Linked DNA regions of Macaca mulatta. The protein of the gene in region 1 interacts with the protein of each later gene in a pairwise test. Links are inferred from orthologs where the notes say so. Each region holds a gene or a part of one and is shown in the gene's direction. Other genes may lie near its edges.

Region 1 (3,814 bases):
GCCATGGTGGCACATGCCTGTAATCCCAGCTAATTGGGAGGCTGAGGCAGGAGAATTCGTTGAACCTGGGAGGTGGAGGCTGCAGTGACCAAGCTGGGATTAAAAAAAAAAGAAGCACTGTAACACTGTGTTACGTGGCCCATCTTCTTTTTTTGACATTTAGTTCAGAATTTCACATACCATTAAGGTTATTAACGTTTTATCTTCAGTTCCCTTTTAGACTATGGCGACATACCTGGAGTTCATCCAGCAGAATGAAGAACGGGATGGTGTGCGTTTTAGCTGGAATGTGTGGCCTTCCAGCCGGCTGGAGGCTACAAGAATGGTTGTACCCCTGGCTTGTCTCCTTACTCCTTTGAAAGAACGTCCAGACCTACCTCCTGTACAATATGAACCTGTGCTTTGCAGCAGGCCAACTTGTAAAGCTGTTCTCAACCCACTTTGGTATGGATTCTTTTGAAACTGGTAAAAATGATAAATACAATATATTATGACTTTTATGTGATGCTCATAAAAATCATTAAATTTGGGCAAGTCATCAAATTTGTGATGAGCAGTAGTGAAACTCTTAATGATTCTTGTGGTGAGTAGTAAGTGGTGAATATTTGTAGACATCTCCCTGGCCTGATAATTCCAGATAAAATTGGAATCTTACAGGAATGAGGTAGAGGGAGAGGATTTGTAATTCACTTTTTTTTTTTTTATGCTGATAATCAGTTTGCTTTTGGCTTAACTATAGACTTTATTGATTCCTCTTAATTTCCCAAAAGAATTCAAAAGCTTAGACTGTCTTGTCATGCTTCCCTGGTACAGGGATGCCATATGGCAGGGAGAAGTAGCAGGCAGAAGAAATTTTAGCTCTTAACAATTTGTTAAGTGTAATTTTTGTGTGTGTGTCCCTGATATAGTGACCTATTTCTTTTAAATGTGGACATTATTTGAAATGATTTTTAAACAGGTGGAGAGTGTCGTAACATTTTTATATGAGGGAACATTTTTTACTTCATTCCCATTGCTTTTATTTAATGTGCCCATATATGAGTGCTGCTCTGATGTAAAATCGTAGCCACTGGTTATTAATTTTCTCCATGTAGAAAGAAGGGGAAAAGTACCTGAAGCGTTATCTTGAACCAGTTCGAGGAAGTGAAATGTGCTTGCCCAACTTTTCTTCAAGTGGTCTAAGTCAGGTTAAAATCTAGAAACATTTTCCTGTGTGTGAAATATGCTCTTAATGTTGGGATTTAGTAGTTTCACGTAGCTGGACAATAAAGATGTTAGAAAAAAATCATGAAGAGTATGTTAAGATAAAAGGCAAAAGGGAAATAACCTATAATTTATATAAATCATGACATTTAAAAAATTAGGAAATCGGCCGGGCGCGGTGGCTCAAGCCTGTAATCCCAGCACTTTGGGAGGCCGAGACGGGCGGATCACGAGGTCAGGAGATTGAGACCATCCTGGCTAACACGGTGAAACCCCGTCTCTACTAAAAAATACAAAAAACTAGCCGGGCGAGGTGGCGGGCACCTGTAGTCCCAGCTACTCGGGAGGCTGAGACAGGAGAATGGCGTGAACCCGGCAGGCGGAGCTTGCAGTGAGCCGAGATGGTGCCACTGCACTCCAGCCTGGGCGACAGAGCGAGACTCCGTCTCAAAAAAAAAAAAAAAAAAAAATTAGGAAATCGAGAAACAGAAAAAGAGATTTAGTATTTCTTCACTGTGGCTATTTGATGGAAATTTTGGTGTACTTAGCCAGAATTCTAACTGCAGTGAACATTTTGCGTACTTGTACTTACTTACGCATACACATAGAAATATTTATTTGTGTGATTTACTAAACTTGAAATTTATAAATAAACGCTTTCTAACTTAAAAATAAAAGTGGTACCTACTAACAATATTTATCTTTCTCACAGTCAGGTTGATTATCGAGCAAAACTTTGGGCCTGTAATTTCTGTTTTCAAAGAAATCAGGTATGTGAATTATTTAACAAAATATGTTATATGTTTTAGTTGTATTATGAAAAAAGTTGTTAGGTTGAATTTGTGTTTACACTGGCAGTGAGCAGTTTCTGCTGAACTCAGGGTGATAGCTTTTGGTAAGCACAATATTGAATTTGAACATTTGTGGTTTATTCTGTTGAATGGTTTTCTTGAGTCCTTGTCATTTGCTTGGGACTGGGGGCAGGGCGCTCATTGAATTCCCTTTTACACATTTTCTGTAGGCAGTGAATCTGTGACCCTAAGAAAGCACCTGTTGTTCATATTTCTCTTGACTTCGGTATATTCTAATTGGATAGTGTACATTACTAAATTTTCGTTTTCTGATCTTTCTAACTTTTAGGGTCCAGGTATTAGTGCTGAGCTTCTTTTGATTTAAAAATTTTTAAAGTACCAAACTAGAAGGAGCTCACAAGTCACAAGAGAGACTTCTCTATAAAAATAACTGTGCGGCCAGGCACGGTGGCTCATGCTGGTAATCCCAGCATTTTGGGAGGCTGAGGCGGGTGGATCACGAGGTCAAGAGATCAAGATCATCTTGGCCAACATGGTGAAACCCCATCTCTACTAAAAATACAAAAATTAGGCCAGGCGCGGTGGCTTACGCCTGTAATCCCAGCACTTTGGGAGGCCGAGGCAGGTAGATCACGAGGTCAAGAGATCGAGACCATCCCGGCCAACATGGTGAAACCCCCTCTCTACTAAAAATACAAAAATTAGCCTGGCATGGTGGGTGCCTATAGTCCAAGCTACTTGGGAGGCCGAGGCAGGAGAATCCACCTGAACCTGGGAGGCGGAGGTTGCAGTGAGCCGAGATCCATGCCACTGCACTCCAGCCTGGTGACAGAGCAAGACTCCGTCTCAAAAAAAAAACCAGAAAATTAGCTGGGCATGGTGGCACATCCCTGTAATCCCAGCTGCTCGGGAGGCTGAGGCAGGAGAATTGCTTGAACCCGGGAGGTGGAGGTTGCAGTCAGCTGAGATTGAGCCATTGCACTCCAGCCTGGCGACAGGGTGAGACTCCATCTCAAAAAAGAAAAAAAAAAGTAACTACGTGTAGTGGAAGTGTTCTAAGACTGGATTGTGGTAATTATTGCACAACTGTACATTTCCTAAAACTACTTGACTTGTGCACTTAAAACGAGTGAAATTTTTTGTAAACTATACCTTAATAAAGTTGTTAGAAAAAAATTGTGTCTACTGTAGTGTACACTGTTCTAACAGATCTTAAGCTCTTCACATGCATTTGTTCATATATTTGATCATCATTACAATTACTCATTCTCAGATGCAGCACATAAGTCTAGTGATGAAGAGAACAGTGTGCAATTGATGACTGACTATAGGTTCAGAAACTATAAGCAGATGTCATTCAAAATGTATCTTCATGAGAGATTCAGAAGTATATACAAATCTTGGCCGGGCGCGGTGGCTCACGCCTGTAATCTTAGCACTTTGGGAGGCCAAGGCGGGTGGATCACGAGGTCAGGAGATCGAGACCATCCTGGCTAACATGGTGAAACCCCGTCTCTACTAAAAATACAAAAAATTAGCCGGGCATAGTGGCGAGTGCCTTAGTCCCAACTACTTGGGAGGCTGAGGCAGGAGAATGGCGTGAACCCAAGAGGCAGAGCTTGCAGTGAGCCGAGATCGCGCCACTGCACTCCGGCCTGCTGACAGAGCGAGACTCCGTCTCAAAAAAAAAAAAAGAAGTTATACAAATCTGAAAAGCATATCTGCTCTCTATTACATTTGGGATTAATGTCTCTGTTTAGTATAATTTATTATAAAAATTCTAAGGCAGGGTAGCATAG
Region 2 (3,914 bases), on another chromosome or scaffold:
ACTTTTTATGGCCCAATTAATGGGTTCGATCCTCGTAAATTTATTTAACTCCATTTGCCTTGGAATTTTAACATTAAGTTTGTTCGCTATTCTCTCTTTCTCCCTCTTCTGTCACCCTCCCTCCCTTTCTTCTCTTCCTCCTCCTTTTCCTTGCTGCCTGGCTTTTCTTCCTCAAAAGCTGGGAGAGCCAAGCCCTCCAAGGCCTCTCACCCGACCCTGTGCCAGGGGCCATTTCAAGATGGGGGCGAGGGAATGAGGCCAGAGGGTCGGGGTACCCTAGGAAGGTCCTGGGGATTGAGGTCTCAGGCTGCTGGGAAGGGTCGCCCACTTGCCTAGCAAGGTGGGGGAATGGCCGGGCTCATCTTTGAATGGCAAAAGTGCAGCTTTTCCCACTTGCCCACACTCTATATTTACAGTTTTCCTTTGTCAGGGGAAGCAGGACATTGTGGAAGCTTAGCCGGCTGGAAAAGGCGGTTGTAAAGTTGGGATTCTGTGCCTTTGCTAATTACAGAGCTGCCTGCGAGTCTGGCACTGCAGTTGGGGTCTTTCCCTAACACCCCTCCTCCTCCCCTAGCTCAGTTTGGGGCCTGGGGCAGAGGGGGATGCTCGCCTGGGACTAGGCCAGGAGGAAGGTGTGGGCTCTGGGACAGCAGCCTAACGAGTGCCCTGTCTACTTGTCTGTCCGTGTGTTCCTGTGTCTGCATGTCTGTTCTCAGGACCTGACAGGAAGCGGGGCCGCCAGACCTACACGCGCTACCAGACACTGGAGCTGGAGAAGGAGTTCCACTTCAACCGCTACCTGACGCGGCGCCGCCGCATTGAAATCGCCCACGCGCTCTGCCTCACCGAGCGCCAGATCAAGATCTGGTTCCAGAATCGCCGCATGAAGTGGAAGAAAGAGCATAAGGACGAAGGTCCGGCTGCCGCAGCAGCTCCCGAGGGCGCCGTGCCCTCTGCCGCCGCCACCGCTGCCGCGGACAAGGCTGACGAGGAGGACGATGATGAAGAAGAGGAAGACGAGGAGGAATGAGGGGCCGAGCCGGGGCCCTCGCTGCACCGGACAGTCGGAAAAGCGTCTTTAAGAGACTCACTGGTTTTATTTACAAAAATGGGGAAAATAAAAGAAAATGTAAAAAAAAAAAAAAAAACAAAGAAAAAAAAAAAAAAAAAAAACAACGAACAAACAAAACAGTCCCCAACCTGCACTCTACCCGGCCCCCATCACCTACTCCAGCTCCCAACTTTTGTGGACTGAGCGGCCGCAGCGACTGGGTCGCCTTGGATTCCCTCTGCCTCCGAGGACCCCAAAAGACACCCCAACCCCAGGTCAGCCGGCCCTGCGCTGGCGCGGCCAAAATACTACCTAGCACAGGCCTCTGCTCGAGGCACCCCCAAACTACCTATGTATCCAGCCCAGAGGGCCTCCATTCCCAGGAAGCCCCTATGTATCCCAGCACTGGCAGACACCCAGCACCACCCTCCCAGATCCGCAAGAACGTGAATCTCACTACTACCTACTCCCCTAAAACTACCTATTTTGTGCTGGCTGGCTTGCCTGCTACCTAGTGCCGACTGCTCCCAGACAAGGCCCCTGCTGCTTACAGCCCGCAGGTTTTGGGGTCCCTGAGGCTGCCCTGAGAATGTGCTGAGGTCCAGGATCAGGGTATTGGCATCTATTTAAATTGAAAAATAATATATTTATTCCAAAAAGCATTCTAAGTGCTGTACCCTAGAATCAATCCCTCCTTCTCTGGCTTGGCACCCAAAGTTCAGGCCCATCAACCCCCACTTCTGGAGGGGAATGTTCCTGAGCTGGCTGCAGATCTCTGGGTTACCTTCTGCTTAGTAGGACTGTGGAGATGCTCCCAGCTTCGCTGTCCTTTCCTCTGGCTCCTGTATCTTACTGTTCAGCTGTGTTAAATATGTACACCCTGACGTTTCCTATAATAGCAGATACTGTATATTTGAACAAGATTTTTTTGTTTGATCGTTTCTATAGTCTTGGAGTTCATTTGTAAGGCAGTGTCTTGACTTGGAAAGGATGTGTTAATGGGGTGACTTTGTAGCATGGTATGTTGTCTTGAGCTAACTGTAGTGGGTGGGGAGGTCCAATGCCCTCCACAATGCCCTTCATCTCCTGTGTTGTCCTGTATCCCCCTCAGCTCCATCCTGGGGTTCAGGGAAGGCACACTTCCCAGCCCAGCTGTGTTTTATGTAACTGAAAAATAAAGATGCTTGGTGACAAAGAAAAACGTGGACTACCTTATCCAGAGGAGACTGGGAAAGGGGAAGTGAGCATGGCTGGAGGGAAAGGGGCAGTGGGGAAGCAAAAGTGGGGTGGCTGTCCTTGTGATGGTCCAAGTGTTGGATGCTCATGTATTGGTGTCATGTATTTTTTAATGTATTTTTATGTGTGTATTTGTATGAGTATGTGCTTATTTTTCTGTTTATGTATTTCTGTGTGTGTGTTTTTACCTAATTTCACAATTGTGTATATTTTGGTGTCCATAATTGGGTGCATGTGTTTCTGTGTGTCCATAATTGCATGTCATTCTGTGCCCACAATAGAGTGTATGCCCTTCCCTGTGTGCATAATTGTACATGTGCCTTTATCCGTGTAGAGACGTTTGTCTGGTTTTTGTGTGCATCTTCTAGATCCCTTGAAAACGGAATCTCTGGCAGATACGTTATATTCTATGAAGCTCCCTAAAAATCTCCATAAATTCCATGAGGAAATTTCAAATCCACCCTTTCCTCTAAGGCTGCGCAGTGGGCTTGGAAAGGGGCATTATCCAGAGGCTGATTACGGATTTCGCATGCGCCCTGAACCCAGCCCCAGGCTAGGAAATGGGATTTAAGGCCCCCACCCCGCCTGCAGGCGAGGCAAGGGCGCCCCAGGGTCCCGCACTGCTGTAGGTGGCGCGGGGAGGGGCTAGGACCGCAGACCCTCGCTGGGCTGCGCAGCCTGGGCAGGGGCTGGGGCATCTGGGTGCAGGGAAGGGGCGAGGGGCGAAGGGCGAGGGATTGTGCGGGCAGCTCAGAGCATCCTGAGTTCCGCCTGCAAGACCTTGTCTCCAGTCTTCTGCCTGGGTTGGGTCCGCTTCTTATGGCTCTTTTAGTAAAACCGGGCCCAAAAGGGTCTGTAAAACCTGAGGCCCCAAGTCTGGGCGGCCTCGGTGGTAAGATGGCGCCGGTGTAAGAGCTGCCTCCTCTCAGTGATGGGGAAAGGGTCATAAATCCGTTGTTGTTTATGAAAATTTACAACTTTGCAATACAACTTTATGAGTTGTTCGGCCCTTCCATTGGCCGCTGTCGGTCATGTGGATGAGAACCGTGAACATGAACTTTTTTATAATTTCCCTTGCGAGAATAGAGCCGCATTCTTTTGCTCCGCTCCGTCCTGCCTGCTTCGGAGCTCTGCCTTCGAGCCTGGCTCGGCTGCGCTTTGTCCGGAGATGGCGAGCAAAGGGAAGCCCCGGCCAGGCCAGGCCTGGCGGCTCCCGCTGGAGATGAGGCGCGCCCCGTTCCCGGCGCCGCGGCGGCAGCTTTGCAACTCGCAACCTGGCTAATTTCCTGCGTCCTCTGGCACCAGGAAGGAGGACAATTCGTCTTTCGGGCTGCCCAAGCGACAGCTGTCACAGGCGCAGGAGCTTCTGAGAGTCGCCGTCTGAAGGTGAGACATGTGGGGAGGAGATAGGAGTAAAGGTGGTGAGGTGACAGCTGGCGGCAGCAGCGGTGGGAGAGGGCACCCAGGGAGGCTTTAAGAGGGGCACACTCCCCCTTACCATACTCACCCATTCACACTCGCCCCCATCACACACTACAGCACACACACGTCACACACACAGGCACACACACGCGCGCACACACGCACACACACCACTCCCTTTCTCTCCCCTCCCTGGCTCGCCTTG

The links.
Region 2: the proteins of SEC23B (region 1) and HOXA3 interact in binary tests that used the Homo sapiens proteins (3 or more experiments, as listed by UniProt). The two-hybrid records come from large-scale screens. The link is inferred for Macaca mulatta from reciprocal best matches to the Homo sapiens genes SEC23B and HOXA3.

Annotation. Positions count from the first base shown.
Region 1 is NC_133415.1:65,485,722-65,489,535, reverse strand, and holds part of SEC23B (protein transport protein Sec23B), read left to right. Parts: intron 1-209; 5' UTR 210-223; coding exon 224-444; intron 445-1,915; coding exon 1,916-1,973; intron 1,974-3,814. UniProt on the Homo sapiens protein: Component of the coat protein complex II (COPII) which promotes the formation of transport vesicles from the endoplasmic reticulum (ER).
Region 2 is NC_133408.1:101,193,365-101,197,278, forward strand, and holds the start of HOXA3 (homeobox protein Hox-A3), read left to right. Parts: upstream 1-1,030; 5' UTR 1,031-3,673; intron 3,674-3,914. Other genes in the region: HOXA7 (homeobox protein Hox-A7), read left to right, coding at 717-1,030. UniProt on the Homo sapiens protein: Sequence-specific transcription factor which is part of a developmental regulatory system that provides cells with specific positional identities on the anterior-posterior axis.